Elephas maximus indicus: one gene and its partner. The protein of the gene in region 1 interacts with the protein of each later gene in a pairwise test. Links are inferred from orthologs where the notes say so. Each region holds a gene or a part of one and is shown in the gene's direction. Other genes may lie near its edges. The genes, in order: LRP1 and MAPK8IP1.

Region 1 (11,250 bases):
CCTTGGTGTTCTTCATTCTCCTTTGATCCAGGTGGGTTGAGACCAATTGATGCATCTTAGATGGCCGCTTGTTAGCATTTAAGACCCCAGATGCCACACTTCAAAGTGGGATGCAGAATGTTTTCATAATAGTATTATTTTGCCAATTGACTTAGAAGTCCCCTTAAGCCATAGTCCCCAAACCCCCGCCCTTGTTCTGCTGACCTTCAAAGCATTCAGTTTATCCCGGAAACTTCTTTGCTTTTGGTCCAGTCCAGTTGAGCCGACCTTCTGTGTATTGAGTATTATCCTTCCCTTCACCTAAAGTAGTTCTTATCTACTACCTAATCAAGCACTGGGATTTTTAAAAGCTCCCCAGGTGACTCTAAGGTGCAGCCAAAGTTTGAGAACTCTGAGAACATTCTAATGTGAGCCAAAGTTTTAAACCTTTCTCTGTCACTCCGCTCTAGGCACAAATGAAAAACCAAATGGTATACCTGATCCTACCCTCCTTAGTGTCTATAGAATCCTTCTCTTCCTCTCCAACTCTATCACTGATGCAAGAATTTTTAAAGACATCGATTTCTCACCTGGCTCCCCACTACTTCTAGAAAAAAATGTTAAGTCCTTAGTTTAGCACACAAGGCCCTTTGTGATTAGGGTCCCTGACACTTCATCCATCATCCTCTCCAATAAGTATGTTAAACTTCAGCCATACCATATTTGCAGTTCCTCAAATGTTTTAAGCTTCCTCATGCTTCCGTATCTTTGCCTGCCCTCCTGCTTAAAACACCCTTTCCTTCTGTTTTCACTTGCTGTTTCCTTCCTCCTTTTTTATTTCCTTCCTCCCTTTCAACCTTTACCCCGGCATCATCTGCCATGCTCTGCCCTGATCCCCTTATCTGGAATAGGTGTGCTTCCCTGATTCCCATGGGTCTCATGCATGCCTTTAACATAGACATTAGGGCACTTAGTGTAATTGTCAATCACCTTTTTTTATAGAGCAACCCCACTATCCTGTAAGCTTCTTGAAGGCTGAGACTGTGTTTCCATCTCATATCCCTAGTGCCTCCTGGCACATCCGGGGTACCTAATAAATGTTTCTTAAATGAATGAAACCTGGGCTCAAATCTGCACTGTGATTTGGGGCAGATTCCTTAATCTCTCTGAACTTCTATTTCCTTATCTACGAACTGGAAATAACACCTATGTCACAAGGTGGCTTTGAGACTTCAGTGAGCTAACTCACCCATACTAACCTATTGCTGCTGAGTCGCTTCCTACTCATAGCGACCCCGTAGGACAGAGTAGAACTGCCTCACAGAGTTTCCAAGGAGCGTCTGGTGGATTCGAACTGCCGACCTTTCGGTTAGCAGCCATAGCTCTTAACCACTATGCCACCAGGGTTTCCATGTAAAATCTATTATATGGGCCTGGCACATGGTAACCATTCAATAAATCTTCATTCTCTTTTCTCTCCCCACCTTCTACCAGATCCTTCAGAGATACGCCTTCCTAATCACACTTCTCTAACTGACCACTAGGTGGTGACAGTCTGGCCTGACACTCCCAGAGCTGCCCTATTAATGCCCCATCCCAGGCAATGTTACACTCAATGAAGAAGAAAAAAACAACAACAAAAAAAAAACCAAGCCCATTGCCATCCAGTGGATTCCAACTCACAGCGACCCTCCAGGGCAGAGTAGAACTGCCCCATAAGGTTCCAAGGAGCAGCTAGTGAATTTGAACTGCTGACCTTTTGCTTAGCAGCCAAGCTCTTAACTACTACCAACCCAGGGTTTCCTCAATGAAGAAAGGGGGATGTTTAATAATTTGCTGAAAAATTTGCTGAAGGATCCAAAAAAAAGGAGATATCCTCTTCCCACATCAACTTCTTTGCCCACTGCCACCATTCTAGGTATCCTGATTATGGATTGCAGAGAATTCTTCCCTGATATCCCATTATTTTCTGTATAATCTAACCCAAGGGTTTGAAGATAAAAGGAAAAGTTTCTTAAGAATAGAAGTGGGGAGAAAGAGAAGAAACTAAGGCAGAGAGGAATTGAAAGATGAGTGCTATAGGAAAACATGAGGAAGCAAAATGCTTACAGTCATACCCTACCCACCACCCACTGCCGTCGAGTCGATTCTGACTCACGGTGACCCTATAGGACAGAGTAGAACTGCCCCATAGAGTTTCCAAGAAGCACCTGGTGGATTCAAACTGCCGACCTCTTGGTTAGCAGCCGTAGCACTTAACCACTACACCACCAGGGTTTCCAGTCATACCCTATTCGACAATAGTTATTAATGGCTGTCTCCTCTACCAGGGCAGGTGCCCCTAGTTCTAACACTCTTGACAGGCTCCCCACGGATCAGTCAAGAACTCCTAACACTGAGTGGATACCAAGAAGTAAAGACATGGTCCCTGTCCTCGAGAAGTTTATACTTTGGTGGTGGATATAGGACACACATAATTAAGTGCTAAACTCTGAGTACTCAGGCTATCTTGAGAGCAAGTTTGAAAAACAATAGATGGGCAGAGCGAGAATAACAAGAGAGCTTTTCTGAGGGGAAGCTGGGGAAACAGTATAATTAAAGGCTCAGGTAGAAATATGCATTCTCTCATCTCACAGAGACACCTCAGCACTTCACATACTGGAAATTACCCAAATGCCAACCAATCTCAATAGATTGGGGTACCCAAGTAAGCAGATTCCAAATTAAAAAAAAAAAAAAACAAACTCATTGCCATCAAGTCGATTCTAACTCATAGTGACCCTACAGGAGAGAGTAGAACTGCCCCATAGAGTTTCCAAGGAGCACCTGGAGGATTTGAACTGCCGACCTTTAGGTTAGCAGCCATAGCATTTTAACCACTATGCAACCAGGGTTTCCAGATTCCAAATAGCAGATATAAATAGTATGAAAGACATATACATACTATGTGTAAAGGGACCAAGATAAGTTTGTTGAAAAAGCAAGTTACAGAACAGTATATATTGTATGAATTCATTTGTATTATTTTAAGGATATTCATTTATATATATATTTAAAAACTCCTGGAAGGATACCCAGGGAACTGTTAGTAGTGGTTACTCTGAGGGTGGGGCTCAAGAATGGTAATGTGGAAAGCAGCAAGTTTACTCTTCACCTTGTACCCTTCTATGCTCTGGGTTGTTCTAACCACTAAGCATGTATTATATCTTTAAATTGTGGTAAAAAAATATATAACAAAACATTTGGCAATTCAACAATTTTTACATGTACAATTCAGTGACATTGATTTTGTTCATTATGCTGTATGACCATCACCACTATCCTTTTCCAAATTACTCCACTGCCATGAACAGAAACTCAGTGTCCCCTAAGAAATGGATCCACCTCCAATCTTTACTCCCACCCCTGGTAACCACCAACAAACTTTGGTCTCTATATATTTGCCTGCTTCATATAAGTGGGACCATACAATATTTGTCCTTCTGTGACTGATATATTTCACTCAGTACATTTTCAAAGTTCATCCAAGTTGTAATATGTGTCAAGATTTTATTTTCCTTTATAGCTGAGTAGTATTCCATTGTATATATATACAGCACATTTTGTTTATTCATTCATCTATCTCTGGATGGACATTCACCTTTTGTGAATAGTGAAGCATGCATTCTTTTTCACAACATAAAGTTCATAAAAATGAATACACATTCACATTCAGGAGATGGCAGTTGGGGTACGTTGGGAGGTAAAAAGTGAAAAGTCTTACAGGCTGGCCAAGGCCAGGTTTTACACCATGACTGTCTGGGAGAAAAGTTCACATTTGGTTTAGTTGTCTACAGATACCCAGCAGAAGTTTACCAACAAGGAAGAGAGACAGGAAAGCAGAATTTTAGGAAGACTGACAGAGGGGAGGGGGAATGAGACTGCCCTCTCACAGCCCCCTGGGGCTACCTATGGTCACTCCAGGTATCTTTTTACTTTCAAAGCTGCCTGAAGCCTATTTTAACCTAATTTCACTTGGATGACAATATTGGTAGGGGCCCTGGCAGAGGAAGGAACCTAGCAGGTATTCATTAATAACATTTAGTTAGTCCCTGCCGTGTGCCTGGCACAGCGCTGGGCCATGAGGGCTGGATAAAAGGATAGGTAAGACCCCACCTCTACCCAGAAAAACTTTGTCTGGAAGTGGAAATGGAGGAAATCATAGATAGATTTCAAAGGGAAAAATGACAGGCCTTGAACATAGGCTTGCACAATTGGATGTAAGAAAGGCCCTGAGAAGTTGGCAATAATTTTGAGGCTTCTAGCCTAGGTGACTAAAGACGGGTGAGGATGGCCGAGCCAAGCAAGCCCAGAAGCAGCACAGGCTTGGGGGAAAAGTCGAGATTCTCACTCCCTCCCACTGTCATTAACAGCCAAGTCCTCCACGATGCTCACTTTTCAGCCAGGGGCAGATTGGAGTGGGGGTTTGGGGCCCTTCCTTGACTAGAATTTTAGGAAGATGGGTGGTCCAATGTCCCTTATCTCTAAAGTCAGTTTCTGGCAGTCCAAGTCGCCTGCCCTAGGTCCCTGAACCCTGACTTCCAGACACCCAGAAAGTCAGACACCACAGCTTTAAACATCGCCCAGAAGGGGGCGGTGGCCAGAAGCACATTCGCCGGGCTCTGGGAACCGCCTGGCGCCTTCTGGACTCAAAGTAGCATTCCCGTAAGGGATCAGGGCCGGGACAAAGGTCCAGCCCTCAGCAGGCACCCCGAGGCCTGGAATTGGAGGTCCAGAGTTCTTCATCTTACTCCAAATCTCTGCTGCTCAGAATCTAAAACCCCGATTTGGTGAGAACCCAGCCCAAAGGTATAAAAACAAAAAAATAAACGAGCCCCCATATCTTGGGGCAAGGGGGGGTGGCCCTTCCTCAACCCCACCCGCTAGTGACTCACCTCCCTCCAAACCAGGGCCTGCCCCTCCGGCGCCCGGTGCCAGGCAAGCAAGGCGGAGCGGGACTTGAGGTGGGCTCCATCCCGGAGCCCTAGGTGAATGGACAAGCTCTGGCGTGTCCCCGCGGGTGTCCCTGTTTACTCCAAACCCGGGAGCGAGTGGGGGCGGCCCCTCCCCCACCCCGCCCCCTCCGCTGCAGGCCCCAATCCCAGTCACCGGTTTAGAAAGTCTCCAAATCAAAGCTCAGTCTGTCCCCGTACCTTCCCCGAGGATTGGAGGCCCCAACACCCACCCCCACCCCCACCCCCGCCCCCACCCCCGCCCCCACCCCCACCCCTACCCCCACCCCAAGCTGAGAAGGCACAGGCCGGGTTCCCCGAGGAAATCCGGCCTCGCCCCAGACCACGGGATATTGGACCCCCCAAGAGGGAGCCTGAAATCCTAGGGCACGACACCGAGTTTCAAAGACAAGCCGTTCTCTTCGCCCACTGCCCAATCCCCCCTCCGCCCGTCCAGCTCTCCGCAGGGGCGCGCTCTGTTAGGAGAGAGGGCGCTGTGGACCCCAAGCCGGCTAGCTGGCCCCGGGACCCCTACGCTCCGTCCGCTTCTCAGAGTTCCAAGTCTTGCTGCTCCTATGGAGCCCCCACCCCAGGGCAGCTCGCCAAACCCGCGCATGCGCACTAACCGGATTGCCGCGTAGCTCTTCCCCCCCCCTTTTCTTTCCCCGCCCCTTCCCTCCCTCCCTCTTCTCCACGTCCCCTCCCTCTCCCCCTTGGCCCCCCCCCGCTGCACCTCAGGCCGGGGAACAGCGGTTCGAGCTCCCGGCCAGTGCACTGAGGAGGCGGAAACGAGGGGAGCCCCCAGAGCTCCATCAGACCCCTTCCAAAGGCTCCCCCACCCGGTCCACGCCCCCCACCCCACCCCCGCCTCCTCCCAATTGTGCATTTTTGCAGCCGGAGGCGGCTCTCAGATGGGGCTGTGAGCTTGCCCGGGGAGGGGGAGAGAGGAGCGAGGAGAAAAGCAGTGGGTGAAGGGTTTGGATTTGGGGGCACTGGGCGCACCCCCGTCAGCAGGCCCTCTCTAAGGGGCTCCGAACTCTGCCTCTTCACCCACACCCCTGGTGAGCTTGGCCGAAGGAAAGAATAAGAATAGAGGAGGGGGGGAAAGGAGGAAAAAGGGGGACCCCCCAAATGGGGGGGCGAAGGCGAGAAGTAGCAGGACCGGAGGGGAGGGGGCTGCTGCCTACATCAGCCCGCACCATGCTGACCCCGCCGTGGCTGCTGCTGCTGCCCCTGCTCTCAGCTCTGGTCACGGCGGCTATCGACGGTGAGTGAGATTCCGCGGCCCCCGGGACCCCTGGGGACACCCCCTCCCCAGCCCCCGTTCCTGCGTACGGATGGGGAAGGGAGACGCGGGAGGGGGTGCCTTTTGTTATCCCAGTCCAGCTGACACAGCAGCGGCCCCACTGGGGACACCGATGGGGGTCTGATTTGGGGGATGGGGGCCCTAGGCAAATGATGCTTCCAGGACCCCCCAGGCCAGACAAAGGCCATAGGCCTGGATAGGGAGAAGAGGGCTCCCCCTTTCTGATCCTGGGATCGAGAGGCCTTCTCTTTCTATCTCTGGTCGGGGAGGGCCTCCACCTCTCCTTCATACACCCCCCCCCCATTTGAATTGTGAAGGAATTCGGATTTGCGATATACGGCAGCAAAAGGGGGCGGGGGACCTTCTGCAGTGGCCTCTGAAGCTCACCGGGGATCTGGGCCAGGGGCGTCCTGCTGGGCAGAGGGCTAGCAGGCCCAGGAAAGCTGTGGGTGGGGAGAGGGAGGACCACGGGGAAGGCCCCCTGCTTGGGTGTGGAATCTGGGCCCCAGAGCCCAGGCATGGAGGCCTGGGTCCAGGATCCAACGGGCTACCTACCCTCCTGGGTTCTGGATTCAGCACTTCCCCCTCTCAGGGCCTCTGTCAGTAGCCTGGGTAGGGCTGTGTTGGGGGGCGGAGTGGGGGGGCAGGCGATGCTATGTGACTGAATTTTCTTTAATAATTCCTGGGAGCGTTGAGATGGAAAAAAAAAAAAAAGTCAGATGTCATCATTGGGGAAGGGGACTAGAGAATGGCCTGGAGTGCGGGGGGTGGGGGGGGGGGTGTTGCAAGGCTGCTTTCTTCCTGACTTCTGCTTGATCACAGTTTGCACTAGAAGGAGAGTTGGAGATTGGGTGGGGTTTACGGCTATCCCCCACCCTCTAATTCCCTGTCCTTTGGTAAATGTGTTTATTTACTTCTCTGCCTCCCATACACACACACTTTGTATAGTACAGAGAGTTAGGCTTAAGCTAGAACTGTGTTCCTTAGGGAAAAGGGAGTTACCCCTCCCCTTTTTCTGCCAGCTGTTTTTTTCTCTTACTTGTGAGTCACTGGTTCAAGTCTTGCCCAAGCTTTCAGCTGGGACCATGGGGCTGGGCTGGGCCCCTGATTTGAGAAAGGATGGACTCACATCCCTTCCTGGCATCTTAGCCCCCTCATCCAGGGATGAAACTGGGCCCAGTATCTGCCTGTAACTAGAAACAGCCCTTCTTTCCCCCACTCACCCCCTCCTCCATCTTTTAAATTTTGCCAGGTTGGGATTGGGAAAGTTTTTCTCTAAAACCAGATTATCTCTCCCTCTCCTCCCCTCCCCCCAATTTTCATCAGTTCCTGGGGCCAGGAAGCAGCTGTGCAAAGAAAGAAGGGTATATTCAGTGGCCCTCAATTATGCCATCTTGGGGACTGTCTGTCTGCTCCCCCCCACCCCATCTACCTCAATTATGTGCCCAAGAGAAGGGAAGAGGCTGTGCCCTGAATACCCTGCAGACGAGTGCCAGCCCCTACTCAGGACTCCCTCCTTCATGCCTGTTCTTTTCTCTTGTTCACAGCCCTGTGGCACCCCACAGGGACAAACTGAGGTAAAGGGATTTGGGTGCAGGAGTGTCTGGGAATGGGTGGAAAAAACATTTTTTTTTTTTTTTTTTAAGAAAGAGAGACAGACACATCAGAAGTCCTGTTACGGAGGGTGGATGGAGTTGGGCCGAAGCAAGGGAGTCTCTGTGGAAAGCACAAAAAGGTCCCTGGCCCAGCCAGGAAGGGCCCTAGGTAGCTTCACTCCCAGGGCTCTGAATCCAAAACCAGACCTGTTGCCATCAAGTCGATTCCAACTCATAGCAACAGGGCTCTAAAGCGGGTATATTTGTCACACCAAGTTGGCTGGTGGATATTAGAAGAGGGAGACTGGACATGTTCTCCTTACTGTCTCCCTAAAAAAAAAAAAACCCACTGCCATCGAGTCGATTCCAACTCATAGCGACCCTACCCTTCCTTAAAGTCCCTGCCCAGCCCCCCTCTGTATTCCCTGCTCAGACTGAACTCTATCCAAAGTCCTAGGAGAGGACTTCTTCCCAGATACCCACTAATAGCCTCATCTTGGAAATGGAAATATGAAAAATCAGTTCCACCTCACTCTGGGGGATGGGAATCTCAGAATTGCTCAGAACCATACCACAGTCGGAAACCCTGGTGGCGTAATGGTTAAGTGCTATGGCTGCTAACCCAGAGGTCGGCAGTTCGAATCCGCCAGGCGCTCCTTGGAAACTCTATGGGGCAGTTCTACTCTGTCCTGTAGGGTCGCTATGAGTCGGAATCGACTGACAGCAGTGGGTTATACCACAGTCCAACTCTATCCAGGAGTAGCCTAGAGGATCCCCTTATCCATACTCCTGCCCTCATGCCTCAGGCCTACAGAGACTGAACTTTCTCCTTTGCTTTCTACAGAAGAAAACCTCTTGACCCCAGGTTACCTGACCTAGTGTCTAACCTTCCTTCCTCCTTCTGTCACAGGTCTGGCTGCCTTCCCCCCATAGGAGCAGTCCTGGAGGCCTTCCCCACCTTGCTTTGGCCTTATCTTCTGGGTCTGAACCTACCCCCTGGAACCCCTTTCTCTCTGGGGAGCAATGCCACTCCCCACTAGTAGACAAAATTGAGTGCAATTGTTACTGAAGAAGATGAGAAAGAGATGGGGTGGGGAGTGGGAAGAGAGAGTATTGAGGGCCCAGCTGAGCTTAGGCAGCCAGACATAGGGAAGAAGGTCGGCTTCCACCCTCTCTCCCTACCTGTCTCCAAAACCCCCTTGAGCAGGTTTATTACCAGTGATCAGGCAAGGTGTACAGTTGAAGTGAGTTTGGAGGCTAGGGTGTTAGCCTTCTGGCTCCCCGAGAGATGTCCCAAGCCCCTTTTTCCCTTGACCAGACCCAAATCCTTGAACATCCCCCTTCAGCCTCGTTTTCCAAAGCAGGGATGTATAGGTTGTTAATTTTGGGATTGAAGGGATATTTTGATGTTTGAGACTGCTCCACAATTTTTCTTTTCTTCCAGTCCTGCTCTTCCTCCCTCCATTTTCTCCATATTTTTTTGCCCTCAACCACTCCTCCATCACTGTGGCTCCTAAGGATGTCAGCCAGGACCCTGGCTAGAGCCAAATCCCCCATTCTTCAAAGCACCTTCCTTACCTTGGGGAAGCCCTTCCTTCAAGTCTAACTCTCTTCCCTCATGCTGTAGTGTCAGCCTTTGCACTTCAGAGCCCCCAGGCCTAGGGCTTATCCCCCTTCGGTGTTATCTTCTCAAGGTCCTCTCGCACACCCTCAAACTCTCCATCTCTGGATGTGGGGCTCACTACCCTCGGGTGGAGTTGAGTGGGGCTGTGCAGAGATCCTCAACCGGGTATGAGCATTCAGGGAACCTGCTCCCCCATCGTGTTCTGTCCCAGATTTCAGCTGGGTTAGCAGGATCCTGCATTGTTTGGAGAAGGAAGCAGTTGGCTCTGGAGTGCTTCCGGAGCAGTGGCCCCAGGTCCCAGTGTAAGGCCACCCTGAGAAAGATGGAGGGGGCAGTCATCTCTCTGACTTCTGCAGGGAGATGAGAGTCCCTCCTAGGCCGAGGGGCTCCAGCCCTCCTCCCTTCCTCCCTCTCTCCCACCCCTATGGTACCTATTCTGAGTCTCCTCTGGGTCAGGCACTCCTAGGCCAGGGATTTTGCCTCCTCAGCCTGGGGTATATGCTAGGTATATGAGTCTTAGGGGAGTTTTCACTCTCTGGATTCATCCCAGGACAACTGTGTTATCGTCTTGGCAACCTCTGGGCTGAGACCCCTTCCTGGCTTTTTTGCCTCTCTCTGTCTGCCTGTCATTGGCTATGTTGTCTCTGCCTTTCAGAACCTCTCTGTCGCACCCTCTTGGCTCATCTCTCTTATTGCTCATCCTACGTGCCCAGACTCCCTTGGTCTCTGTTGCTTGCCTTATTCATCTCCGCCTGTCTCTAGCTACCTCCATTCAGGCCTCCTGGTATCCCAAAAGCTACCAAGGAACTGGGGTCTTATCTGGACTTTCTCGCTTGCTCCCTACCTCCTACCTCTCCATTTTGGCGTTATATTTCCTCTCCCAGGCCAAGCTCAGAGCATCAAGTTCAGCAGTGAAAGCTTCCTCTCTACTTTCCTCCCAAGTTCCTTTCCCCCCACCCCCAGCCCCCATACTGATTCTGGATATGGGTTTAGGAGGGAATGTTTCTGGAAGAAGGGAATTTGATACCCTTTGTGGGCTAAGTTAAATGGGGGAGGGAGGTTTTTTCAGAAAGAAGGAAGGAGGTTAGACTTCTAGAGGAACTTCCTTATGACCAGGAGCCTGAGAACTAGATGGAGAAAGATGTGGGGAATGAGTCAAGAGCTTAGAGCTTTTACCTCTGGCAAGCATAGGCTGTGTGTGTGTGTGTGTGCGCGCGCACGCGCGCATGTGTATGTGAGGGGGTTGGCACTTATAAATGTCTGGTGAGATATATGCTGACTTCTGGAAGCATTTGGAGGGTCTGGATTTTATTTGTGGGGAAAGAAAAAGATGGTGGGAAGGTCACGGGTCAGGCTAATGTCCTGCTGAGTCAATATTGACTCAGGATAGAAGGGGGGACCTTTCTCCACCCCCCGGCGGTCCAAGCCACCCTGTCTATCCCTGTGTCCAGGCCGCAAAGCAGAGGCCCAGACTCAGGAATGACAAAAATGTGTCTGAGCCTCACTGAGCTGCGGGAAGGAGCCACAGGGTAACACCCAAAATACATAAAATAAAGCAAAAAGCTCCAGGTTTGGGTCCGGGAAGCCCTTGCTGCCCCACTCCCATGTGTTTGAAAGTTCAGATTCCTGCAGGCTCTGTCCCCCACCCTCTGGTGACCCCCTGACTCCTCTGTCCCCTTAGATACATCATGTGGTTCCTCTTAGAAAACATCCCCTCACATACACAGCCTATCTCTCCCTCTGCCGGGTCTACTC
Region 2 (10,827 bases), on another chromosome or scaffold:
AGTAAAGGCTTTAGTGGGTGATACTGTAGAGAGAGGTTACTTGTAAAAACATGGGCTCTGGCACTTACGAATGCTCTAGTCTTGGGCAAGTTACTTATCCTCTCTGCACTTCAGTTTTCTCCTATATAAAATTGGAGGCCGTATCTTCAGGGTTAATAAGGTCACAGGTGTACAGCGCTTGGCCCACGGTAGGCTCGGTGAGCAGATGTGATGTTATTATCTGCCTCATCAAAATTTAAACTGGACAAACCTTTTAATGGAGCACTGTGTGTCTGCAGAATCCCAGACACACTAAGCCTGTTTTAAATAGGCACCCAGCATTATGACGGGCTTACCTTGTTGTCTGTTATCAGGGATGAGGCCATTTCTTTCCTCTGCCCCAGATTCCGGATGTTATAAATCTCCCAGTGAGTCATCTGGTGTCTCCTGTCCCCCTCCCAGCCATCCTGCGGGGCTGCACCAGGCCTCTCTTATCTGTATGTGGAAATTTGCTCACCTGCTGATTCTATACTCAGTCCTTGCCTTCCTCTTCAAAATGACTTCTCCCAGCTAGCCTCCCCTCCAGCTATTTTTTTCTGATTCTCCATTTCTGGCAACAGTCCCTGTGTCTTGATTGAGACACTGCCCTTGTCATATCTGAGCAAGTGTCACCAAAGGCCTCAGGTGAGTCTCAGGGGACCTTTTCCTCCTCTTCCTTGGCTGCCCTCAGCTGTGCCTCAGAGGTGGCCCAGAGGGTCTGCAGGGGACAGCAGATCCTGTCTAAGCACTTCAGAGGGGCAGTGTGCAGTCAGTCCAGTGGCATCCCAGCAACAGCCTCATCCCTGGTCCCGTGGCCCTTGCAGCTCATTATTTAGGGACTTCCCAGTTCCCAGCCTGAGTGTCCCTAGAGAAGCAGCCAGAGGAGCTGGTGTCCCTGGGCAACTGAGCAGCCTCCTAAATGTTCTTTTGACACTTGTTTTTCTCTTCCAGCTGCAGAGCCGCTGCTCCGTGAGCCAAGCCTGGATGCCAGGGCAGCCACCGTGGCAGCAGAGTGCAACCTGCGGGCAAGCCGGCGCTGACAGAGCTCGCAAAGACGTGTGTGCGTGTGTTGTGTGCGCCTGTGCAGGGGGAGTGGTGTGCTGTTTGTGTGTGCATGTGTCTGTTTACACTCTGTGACTCTGAATGCTGCCTGGGCTGGAGCAGTCCCTGCAGCACGCTTCACCTCGAGTGCTGTGCCTGCCTCCAGACACAAGGCTAGATGTCACAGCTGAGACCTGTCCCTGCCAGCCAACAGCCTGGTCTGAGTGGAACATAGTGGTAGGATCTTAGCTGGGATTCTGGCTTCTGCCTCCTCAGTTCACCCTCCTCACATCAGGCCAAGGAGCAGAAAGGCAACATCTTTGGCTCTTGTCAAGAGTATGGGATTCTAGAGGCAGCCAGAGCCCTGCAAAGTTCTGCATTTTGACCCTGGAGGCTGAGCAGACTGGAGTGGATGGATGCCGTCCAGACCTAGCCACCTGGTCTGGCACCTTTCTCATCTTAAAAGCCCCTGCTCTGGTCCTCCAGACCCTTCCTCGGGTACGTGGGACTGAGCACAAGGCTGTGTACAGATGATAGCTCTGAAAAGTTCCCACCAACCAGCACATGGAAGGATACCCAATACTTGCCTGGTGGGATGTACGCAGACTGTAGGTAGCAGCCTCAGCCAGCACAGCTGCCTTTTCAGAGCTGAAAGCCCAAGGCTAGGAAGAGAATTCCAGCTCTGTACTTCCCCAGAAGCTAAGAGCCAGCCTGGAGCTTATCCAGGAGCTGGGGAGGGCAGGGGCAGACATGCCTTCTCCATGAGGAGGCCAGGTTCCTGGGGGCATAGAGCCCCAGCCCCTGTGGCCCCACTCCAAGACCACAGTGCCACCAGTGAGGACAGCTGACCCCCAGCCATGGAGGCCGTTCTAGTCTTTCTTCTGGAGCCTTCCAGGGCCTACCCCGCACTGGATATCATCCAAGCTGCCATGTCAGCTGTCCCAGTAGCTGGACTCCAAGAACCCAGGCAGATGGACTCAGGGGACTGCCAGAGGCAGTTGGCAGAGGTCAAACTAGAGATCATACCCAACACACCAACCCTTCCAGAAGCATCAGGTGGGAGGTTTGACCCAGAGAAGTCAAGCCTCGCATTACGGGAATGGCCAGTGCCGCCCACCACTCCCCTCCCACTGTCGAAGGCCTCTGTTGAGAAACACTTAATGAAAAGGACTGTGTTGTCAGCTGGAGCAAGTCTTCCTTCCACGCTGTGGCCTGCACTTCGGCCACAAAGTTCGTGTGTGTGTCTGTGTGTGCCTTTGTGTGTGCACGCGTGCGTACATACACGTGCTTGTGTAGCTGAGAGGCCGATTCCTCTTTGGGTTTTTGTCCTCACGTGTAACATTAAGCTGGCCTCTTGGCCTTCTCCTCTCTACCTCCCCTGTGACCTTTCCTAGTCTCATAGCTGTTAATGCCCTTGGCCCCTGCCCTGTCCCTCGATGTCTTCTGTCCCCAGACCAGAGCCCTGGGGTCATGCCCCTGTCTCCTGCAGTTGTCCAGCATGTTGACAGGCTTCTTCCTGAGAGGTCCTCAGTTTTCTCAGCCAGAGAGCTGCCTTTAGAGTCCAACTGTTGTATGTCACCTTTACTAGAAATATCCTGTAATCATGTGGGGAGGGTAGGGCACACATCTGGTGTGTATTCAGAGTACTGGGTTGAGGGCTTCCCTCAGTCCCAGCCAGGAGGAAAGAGAATCAGGGGCTATTGCCTGAAGGGGAGTGGAGTGAGCCTGGAAGGGCTAATCTGAGACATGGAGGATGCCCAAGGGCTTAGGGCCAAAATCAGTATTTATTTAGCAGCACCTTCAAACCTCAGGATGGTTTGATGGTACTGATGACTTAATGGTGGCTCTCTCCCCTAAGGCACAAGTCGGGCGGGACCACACCCCCTGCTTCTCCACCTTCCCTCGCATGCTGGCCCACCCCCAGGACAACCTTGCAGTGGGGTGGGGCAGTCCACCCCTGGAGCTGGAGGGGCGGGGCGGAGAGGGTACAGCCAGTGGCCTGGAGCTCCACCGGGGCCTCACGTCTCCCCTCTTCTAGCTCGGGCAGCACTGGGGGTGCCACAGAGTGATGCAAACCCTGATCCAAGGGCCAGCATGGGGAAGAGATGGTCGCAGGCAAAATGCACTTTATACAGAGGTTTTCTACTGCTGGGAAGGTGTGTTTCTCCCACGGTTTGTTTGTGAACATGCACTCGTTTTATAAACATCTGATCCTGTCAAAGCAAAGCTGTGCTGTTGTCAGTTTTGTGGGAGGTTTGGGGACTGGGGTTGGTAAGGCTGAGCCTAGCTGAGACCTTAGCCAGACCATCTTGATCCTGCTGGAGCCAGAGCCTCTCGCCCCTCCTTTGTCCCAGGTGAGCAGCCCAGCAGACCAATGATAGCTCCAGAGCAGGGTGCTCAGTGTTGGGGTCATTTGGCCATAATGGTGCTGAGCAGTCCAGCGCAGGATGGGGTTCCTGAGTACTGTCCTGTGGTGACCCTACCTGTCAGCCCCTTATGCCCCCCCACCCAAGATGGTGGCAGGCCCTCTTCAGGCCCTCAGTCCATCCTTTACCTCAGTGCCACCACTTCAGCTGCAGCTGTGCAGTGAGCTGTGTGGGTAGATGGTCAAGAACTATCCATAGCTATGCCCAGAGTCTGGATGCTGGCATTCCCCCATGCCATGTGGCCAGAGAGTGGCCCCTTTCTGTGCAGTGTGCATGGGCTTTCCTGCTGGGGACACTTGCCCTGGATTGGACCACTGGGCTGGGAGCTTTGGTAGCCCCCATACCAACTCCCTGTGGGAAGGGACTTCAGGAAGGCCCAGGGATGTCACAGTCTGCCCTGCAGTGAGAAAGGGAGAAAATGGAGCAACATAACCCTGGGGCTTATCTTATTCTTGGCCTTGTTTTAAAGCTCTTGCTGTCTCCCCATCAACACTTGGGCCTGTCCTTCCCTTCTCCTGGTTTCTGTCTAATGTGGCTTTGGCTTGGCCCTGAGGCTAAGATTCCTTTGTTCTTGGGTAGAAGGTTCTGGAAGAGAGTTATCCTACACACACACACTCCTGACCTTCCCATCCTCCATAGCTGAGACAACCACATACTTTAAGGAACAATTATTACCCATGATGGCAAGACTGCTTTCCTGGAAGGAAAAGCCAGGCAACACAGCAGCAGATGTTTAACGTGAAGACCTAGGGAAAGGGGCCTGGGCCAAGATAGTGGGAGAGGTAAAGTGGCCACCCGTCTGGGCCCCAGGGGCAAGGAGAAGAGAAGCAGCCAGGGCCTTTGGTTCTAGGTATTGGAATGTTGTGGCTATAGCTGAAAGGTTGTTTATTGCAAGGTGAGTGCTTGCAGCTCCTTTCTGGGTGCTACATTGGAAGAAAAGAGGCCAGCATGACCAGTTGGCAGTCCAGATTTGCAAATAGGATTCCTCAAGCTGTGAAACAGTTTGTCTGCCCCTTCTCCAAGGAGGGGAAGGACAGGACCTGTGTGGTTCTCTCAGTTGGCTAGAGAAGCCAGTGAGGTTTGGCCAGAAGCTCTATGACCCACCAAAGCTAGGGCCGTGGTCTTGGCCTAAGTGTCAAACAGCCTCTGCTGTGAAAGAAGCAGGGAACATAAGGCCTGCAGGTCAAGGCTTAGCCCTCTGAGGGGAGAGAAGATCAGGAGGGAACCACAGCCCAAACCTGGCAGGGGCAGAGGTGCAGGAGGGAACAGAAACTTAACCAAAGGAATCCCAGGAAGACAACAGGTGGGAGCAGAGGGAAAGGCCCAAAGTCTTAGAGTGAGAGAAGCCAGCTATGGGGTATTTGTGGGGGCAAAAGAGAGGTGCTTTGCAGGAAATGCAATTGAGGCAGTAAATGGGAAGAAAGAGAAAGCTGGGCAAGTCCTGACATAAGGTAGGGGAAGTTGAGGGACTGAGAAGCCAAGAGGAAGGACTCAATTCACCTTTAGTAGCTGTTTGGGGCTGAAGAGAGCCTGGGGCCAGTCTTCAGGGAGGAGAGGGACAAGGTAAAGGGACAGGAATGGGGAGAGGCCTGGATCCTAGTGCAGGAGAGGGGTGTCGCCTGGATTCGGGTGACAACACATTCATATTACGTTGTATTTTCATAAACATGAGAGTGGTATTAATGTCCCCATTTCACAGATGAGAAAACCAGACCTTAGGACTGTCAAGTCACGAATGCAACGCCCCACCGCCTATTCACTGGGAATTCACGCCACGTCACTCCAAACCTTTCTGCTCTTCACCACCCTCTCTCCTTTCTCAGCGACCTTCCTTTCCTGCCTTCTTTGTCTGCTGCGGGGGAGCCAACCAGGGCCTTGGGGACTAAGGGGCCCGTCATTAGTTACCTGATGATGCCTGGGCGTTAGACCCGCCCCCAGGGAGGCTTTGTGGTGGGGCACAGGGACAGCATCAAACTTAGGGCGGAGCGAGGCCAAACCCAGAGGCCCCGAAGCGGGGGGGGGGGGGGGGGGGCGACTTCAGCACCTCGGCGAGCGCCCCGGGGCGGGGCTCGGCGTGCCGGGGGCGGGGCAGGGGGCGGGGCGCACGAGACCCCGGCGAGGGCCCGGGGCGCGCGCGGGGGCGCTCTCTCCAGTGCCGAGCGGTGCGCGGTCCGGAGCCGCGCCCTGCCCTGCGCAGGTGCGCCCGCGAGCCCGCCCAGCCGGAGCCCGGGTGGCGGCCCCCTAGCCGCGCCTACTTCGCCGCCGCCGCCGTCGCCGCCGCCGCCGCCACCGCCGCCGCCGCCGCCGCCGCCGCCGCCGCCACCACCTTCTCAGCCGCCGCCGCCTCCTCCTCTCCGCGCTCCGCCCGGATGGCCAGGGCTGGGCCCGAGAATGGCGGAGCGAGAGAGCGGCGGCCTGGGCGGGGGGACCGCGTCCCCGCCTGCCGCCTCTCCGTTCCTGGGGCTGCACATCGCGTCGCCTCCCAATTTCAGGTGAGAACCCCGAGTCTCGCGCGCCCCACCCTTCAGCCGGTACAGATCTGCCCCCCCCCCCACATACACACCGGACCCCGGGAGCGAGAGGGCGGCTTGGGCACAGGAGTCTCTTCACTGTACGGAGCCCACCCCAAGTCCCCCTCAACCTCCAGTCCAGACTGCCCCTGCATATTCATGGTGCAGCTCCCTCCGCCATTCCACATTCGAGGGTAGGAGATCCGGAGCTGGAGTTGGAGGAGGGGGCTCAGAGGCCGCCTGCGCCCCCACTTGGGGCTGCGGCTGGACCTAGGTCTGGATTGTGATCCCGGAGGAGGCACGTAGGCTGGAACTTTGCCTGTGCCCAATCCGAAGGCTTCTGAACCGAGATGGAAGTAGGCTGGTGTGCCCGGTGAGACCCAGTTTCTTGGGGCAGCTGACCACCTTGGTGCTGGAAGGAGGAGTCGGGGCTTCCTCCCCAGACCTGCCTGGCCAGATGGGCCCAACTCTCAGGTCTGGCTCCGCCTGGACCCTCTGTGGACTTCGGCAAGCAGTAGGCTCTAATCCTCCTCCCTCCCCGCCCTCCCTGCCACCGCCCCCCCTCCTCCCCGGGATCCTAGGCCCAGTTCTGGGAGGGTGTTCTGGTTTGGAGGGCCTAGGAGGAGCCAGGGACATTGGGAGGCCTTTGCTGGGATAAGTACCCAGACCCTGACCTGAACTCCCCCTCTCCAACCCTCCTCTCCCCTCCCCGCAATCTGGTGTTACCCGCTAGGAGGGAGATTTCAGAGAATTGAAGTGAGTGTTCTTGGGAGGAAGGATAGATGCCCCTCCCCCATAATCCTGACCTCACTTGGGAAGAAGAGGAGGGTGTAATTGCTCCAGAGCCTAGTAGAAGGGGCTTAGGCAAATCCCATTGTTTCTCCATATAATGAGCCTGTGCCTCCACCTCTCCTGGGGCCCCTAACCCAGTCGGGCCCCAGCTGGGCTCTGGCGCCAGCCCCTCTGACCAGAAGATGGCTGGCTCCCTGGCCCCCTCAGGTGGGCCAGGACCTCTGGGGATCTCTAATGGCATCATCAGGGCCAGGAACCTCCCCTGAGGCCCGGAGCTGAGCCGAGGCCCGGGGCTGAGCCAGAAAACCAGAGGGAAGGGGACCAGATGGAGAAGGCCAAGCTCTGTGGTTAGCGCCTTCAGACCAGTGGGGCCTCAGGCTGAGACTCCACCTGCCGTGGCACACATTGCCTCCATGGAAACACTGCTGGCCCAGACGGGGGCCCCTCGGCAGTGGAGGAGCATTGCACTTAGAGCCAAGGGTCTTGGTTCCAATTCTAGCACCACCAACTGTATGATTTTTGTCCTAAGTCCTAACTGCTAATATTAATCCCTGCGTAAAAACGAGACCACGGATATCGAGTCGGTGCTCAATAAGTGTCTGGAGGCATTTCTGTAGCAGCTTACTGTTCAGAGCTTTTCCCCAGTGTTGGCTCATTTAACCCTAGTGACCACCCTGTGAGTGAGTATTGGTATGCTTGTTGTAAAGATGAGCACATTAAGTTGCAGGAAGGCACAGTGACTTGCCTAAGGATCCTGAGATAGGCAGAGGTCGAGGCTGGAAGGGACCCCAGGTCTGTGTGTACGTATCCGCTGTCCCCCAGGTCCTGCCTCCGGCCTCTGCTCCCCAGGTACCAGTGTTTTCCATCCCTGCCCTGCCCCCTGGCAGACAGATTGTTACGAAGCTGTAGTGCAAACAGCTGATGGGGTGGACGCCAGCCAGTGAGTGTGTGTCCAGCTCCGGGCCATGTGGGCCGAGGGTGGCAGCATGCAATAAGGCTGAGGCGTGGGCCTGGCCTTCCAGGACACCATGGCCTGGCTGTGAAGACAAGGTCAGCTTGTGTGAATAATAGGGGTCTGTGTCTCAGGCCCTCAAGGCCTGCCCCGCCTGCTCCAACAGCCCTTGCTGCCCTTTCCCTTGTCCCGCCTCTCACAGCCCTTGGCCCAGCTCGATTTAACCCTGTGCAGTTAGTGCTGTTGGGCCTCTTTGTTGGGGTGAGGGAGCCAACTGGGCTGAGTTTGAATCCTGGCTTGGCCTTCTTAGCTAAGTGCCCCAAGATGGGGCACTTAACCCCACCAAGCCTCTGTTTCTTCTTTGCTTCTTCATTGCTTTGACCCCTTCTCAGGGCAGCCCTAAGACTCAGTTGGGACACTACATGTTGAGCGTTTCAAGAGCAATGAAGAGCCGTATGGATGTGGGGCTGTTTTGTGTGTGTGTGTGTGTGCGTGCGTCTGGGCCCTCAGCAGCACCGTCAGCTCCCAGAAGGCATGCGGGCTCAATACCTGAATGTTACGAGTGTTGTTGTTAGCGCTGAATTGGCCCCCACGAGTCATGACAACCACATGCACATGGAACGAAACGCTGCCCGGTCCTGCACCGTCCCCACCATCCCTTGCGGATCAGACAGTTTTCATCAGCTGATTTGGAAGTAGATTTCCAGGCCTTTCTTTCAAGTCCCTCTTAGTCTGGAAGTTCTGCTGAAACCTTTTCAGCATCATAGCTTCCACAGTGGAGGGGGTAAGTGTGATGTGGACCTAGGAGGATGGGGAACATTTGTTTGTTGGTGGTCGTTTTAAATAAACATGTTGGGGGCGTGTGTGTGATTAGAGAACTGCTCCAACCAATTACTAGTAGTTTCTCCTGTTTATGGTATCAGGTGAGGGATCTTCACTTCTTACTTTACATACTTCTGTATTATTACTATTTTTTTTAATAATGAGCATGGGTCACTTTTGTAACTTACAAAATAATAAATGAAAATTTAAAATTAAAGTGATACAAGTTGACTATAAAAAATTCTCGAAAAGATTTACACAATGGATAAGTTGGAGTTGGACAGGTGGAATAAAGGGGAGGGACGGCCCATGGGGGCAGAAACAGCAGGGACAAAGGGGTATTCACGGAGAGTAAAGTCAGCAGACTGCATTGGGTGTGTGGAAGGGGAACCCTAGGCCAAGGGAAGTCCTTTTACTTATGAGGAAACAAGAGAGGGGGAGGACTTTCCTGAGAACACACAGCAAGTTAGTGGCAGAGCTGGGATAGAACTCCCTGGATGGCGTTCTTGCTAGCCCACCACACTGCCTTGGGGATGAGAGATGAGGCTGCCAAGAGCTGACACCACCACCAGGTGCTGTCAGGTCCATTCCCACTCATGCAGACCCCACGTGAGTCAGCGTAGAACTGCACTCGGTAGGGCTTTCAGTGGCTGATTTTTTGGAAGTAGATTGCCAGGCCTTTCTCCCAAGGTGCCTCTGGGTACATTTGAACTGCCAGCCTTTCAATTAGTAGCTGAATGCTCAGCTGCGTCACCAGGGACCTCCTTATTGGTACTTGGTCGTTCTTGTTCTCTCCAAAAATATTTGTACTTTGCCAGGCTCACTGGGGAGGCACTCTAGAGGCACAGACATGGGCTCTGGCCATCACACAGGTGACGGTGTAGAGGGGAAACAGACAGACAGACAAGACTTTACCAGACAAGCTGGTGGGTGCCATGATGACGCAGGTCAGGTCATGTTGAGTGTTTCAAGAGAAGGTTCAGAGGTTCCCCAGAGAAAGGGAGATCTCTGCTCAGGCTTGGTGGGAGCCTGAGCATTGTGTGAAAGGGGTGGGGGTATGAAAAGGGGAGAGCAGCCTATGTGAAGAGTCCAGGGAAAGCAGGTGGGGGCAGGGTGTGTCTGACGCCCAGCCTGGTGGGTGTGTGGCCAGCCAGGTGAGTGGGAACCTGTAGGCCTTGTTAGGACCCTGGCCTTTTCACCAACAAGCAACGGGAGCCAGCAAGGGTTTAGGCAGGGAACAGCAGCATCAGATTGATATTTGGGGACAATCACTCTGGCTGCTGGGTAGAGAATGGATGAGGAGGCTGGGAGGCCAGCTGGGAGACTGGTCATTCTCAGGGGAGAAAGAGGACCGGGGAGAAGATGTGAGGAAGATTCAGGAGGTGAGTTGACCCACGTGGTGAGAAATTGGACATAAGGGATGGAGGAGAGGCAGGAGTCCGGGATAATGCCGGAGCCCCTTCGAGAGTGGGGGTAGGGATGGCCTAGGGGAGATGAGAGATTTGGTGGACCAGGATATGAAGGCATTTGGGGCCCTGCCGAATTTGAGGTTGGTGATCCTTGGGTGACCCAGTTGTAGGATTTCACTCATTTCTCTGATGCCAGAGCCTTAATGTTGGTCTTGGATTCCTGGGAATGGGCCACAACCCACAACTTGGGGCCTCAATGGGTCCTACAAACTGGGTCACTGCCAGCATTCCCACCTAGGGGTTCTCACCCACCCTAGGACACCATCTCTGTCCCTTGGCTCTGCTCTTTTTTTTCAGGGCTTGAAACTTTACTTGTTGAAAACATACGCAGTCACACACCATTTCAACAATTTCTACATGTACAACTCAGTGACATTAATTACATTCAAGTTGTGCAAACATTCTCACTATCCTTCTCTGAATTTTTCTACCACCCTTGACTTAGACTCACTGCCCCCTAAGCTTCTTATCTAATCTTTCAATTTATTGTTGTCAGTTATCTTAAAGATAATTCTTTAAAAGAGCACAATGGTCAACGTAGACATACTATATTAAGATAAACTATTTTTTGGTTCAATGAAACCTTCAGGAATAGTTTCAGTTTCAAGTTTAAAGATTATCTCAGAGCCATAGCTTTGGGGGTTCATCCAGCCTTAATGGCTCCAAAACGTCTGGCTTCTAAGGAGAATTTCAAATTCTGTCCTACATTCTTCCCCCTTTTGGTCAGGATTCTTCTATAGAATCTTTGATCAAAACAATCAGTAATGATAGCCAGGCACCATCCGATTCTTCTGGTT

Evidence for each region.
Region 2: the proteins of LRP1 (region 1) and MAPK8IP1 interact in a two-hybrid assay, tested with the Homo sapiens proteins (2 studies listed by BioGRID). The link is inferred for Elephas maximus indicus from reciprocal best matches to the Homo sapiens genes LRP1 and MAPK8IP1.

The regions. Positions count from the first base shown.
Region 1 is NC_064822.1:117,050,245-117,061,494, forward strand, and holds the start of LRP1 (prolow-density lipoprotein receptor-related protein 1), read left to right. Parts: upstream 1-5,703; 5' UTR 5,704-6,101; coding exon 6,102-6,237; intron 6,238-11,250. UniProt on the Homo sapiens protein: Endocytic receptor involved in endocytosis and in phagocytosis of apoptotic cells. Required for early embryonic development. Involved in cellular lipid homeostasis.
Region 2 is NC_064825.1:101,360,992-101,371,818, forward strand, and holds the start of MAPK8IP1 (C-Jun-amino-terminal kinase-interacting protein 1), read left to right. Parts: upstream 1-5,769; 5' UTR 5,770-5,876; coding exon 5,877-5,977; intron 5,978-10,827. UniProt on the Homo sapiens protein: The JNK-interacting protein (JIP) group of scaffold proteins selectively mediates JNK signaling by aggregating specific components of the MAPK cascade to form a functional JNK signaling module. Required for JNK activation in response to excitotoxic stress.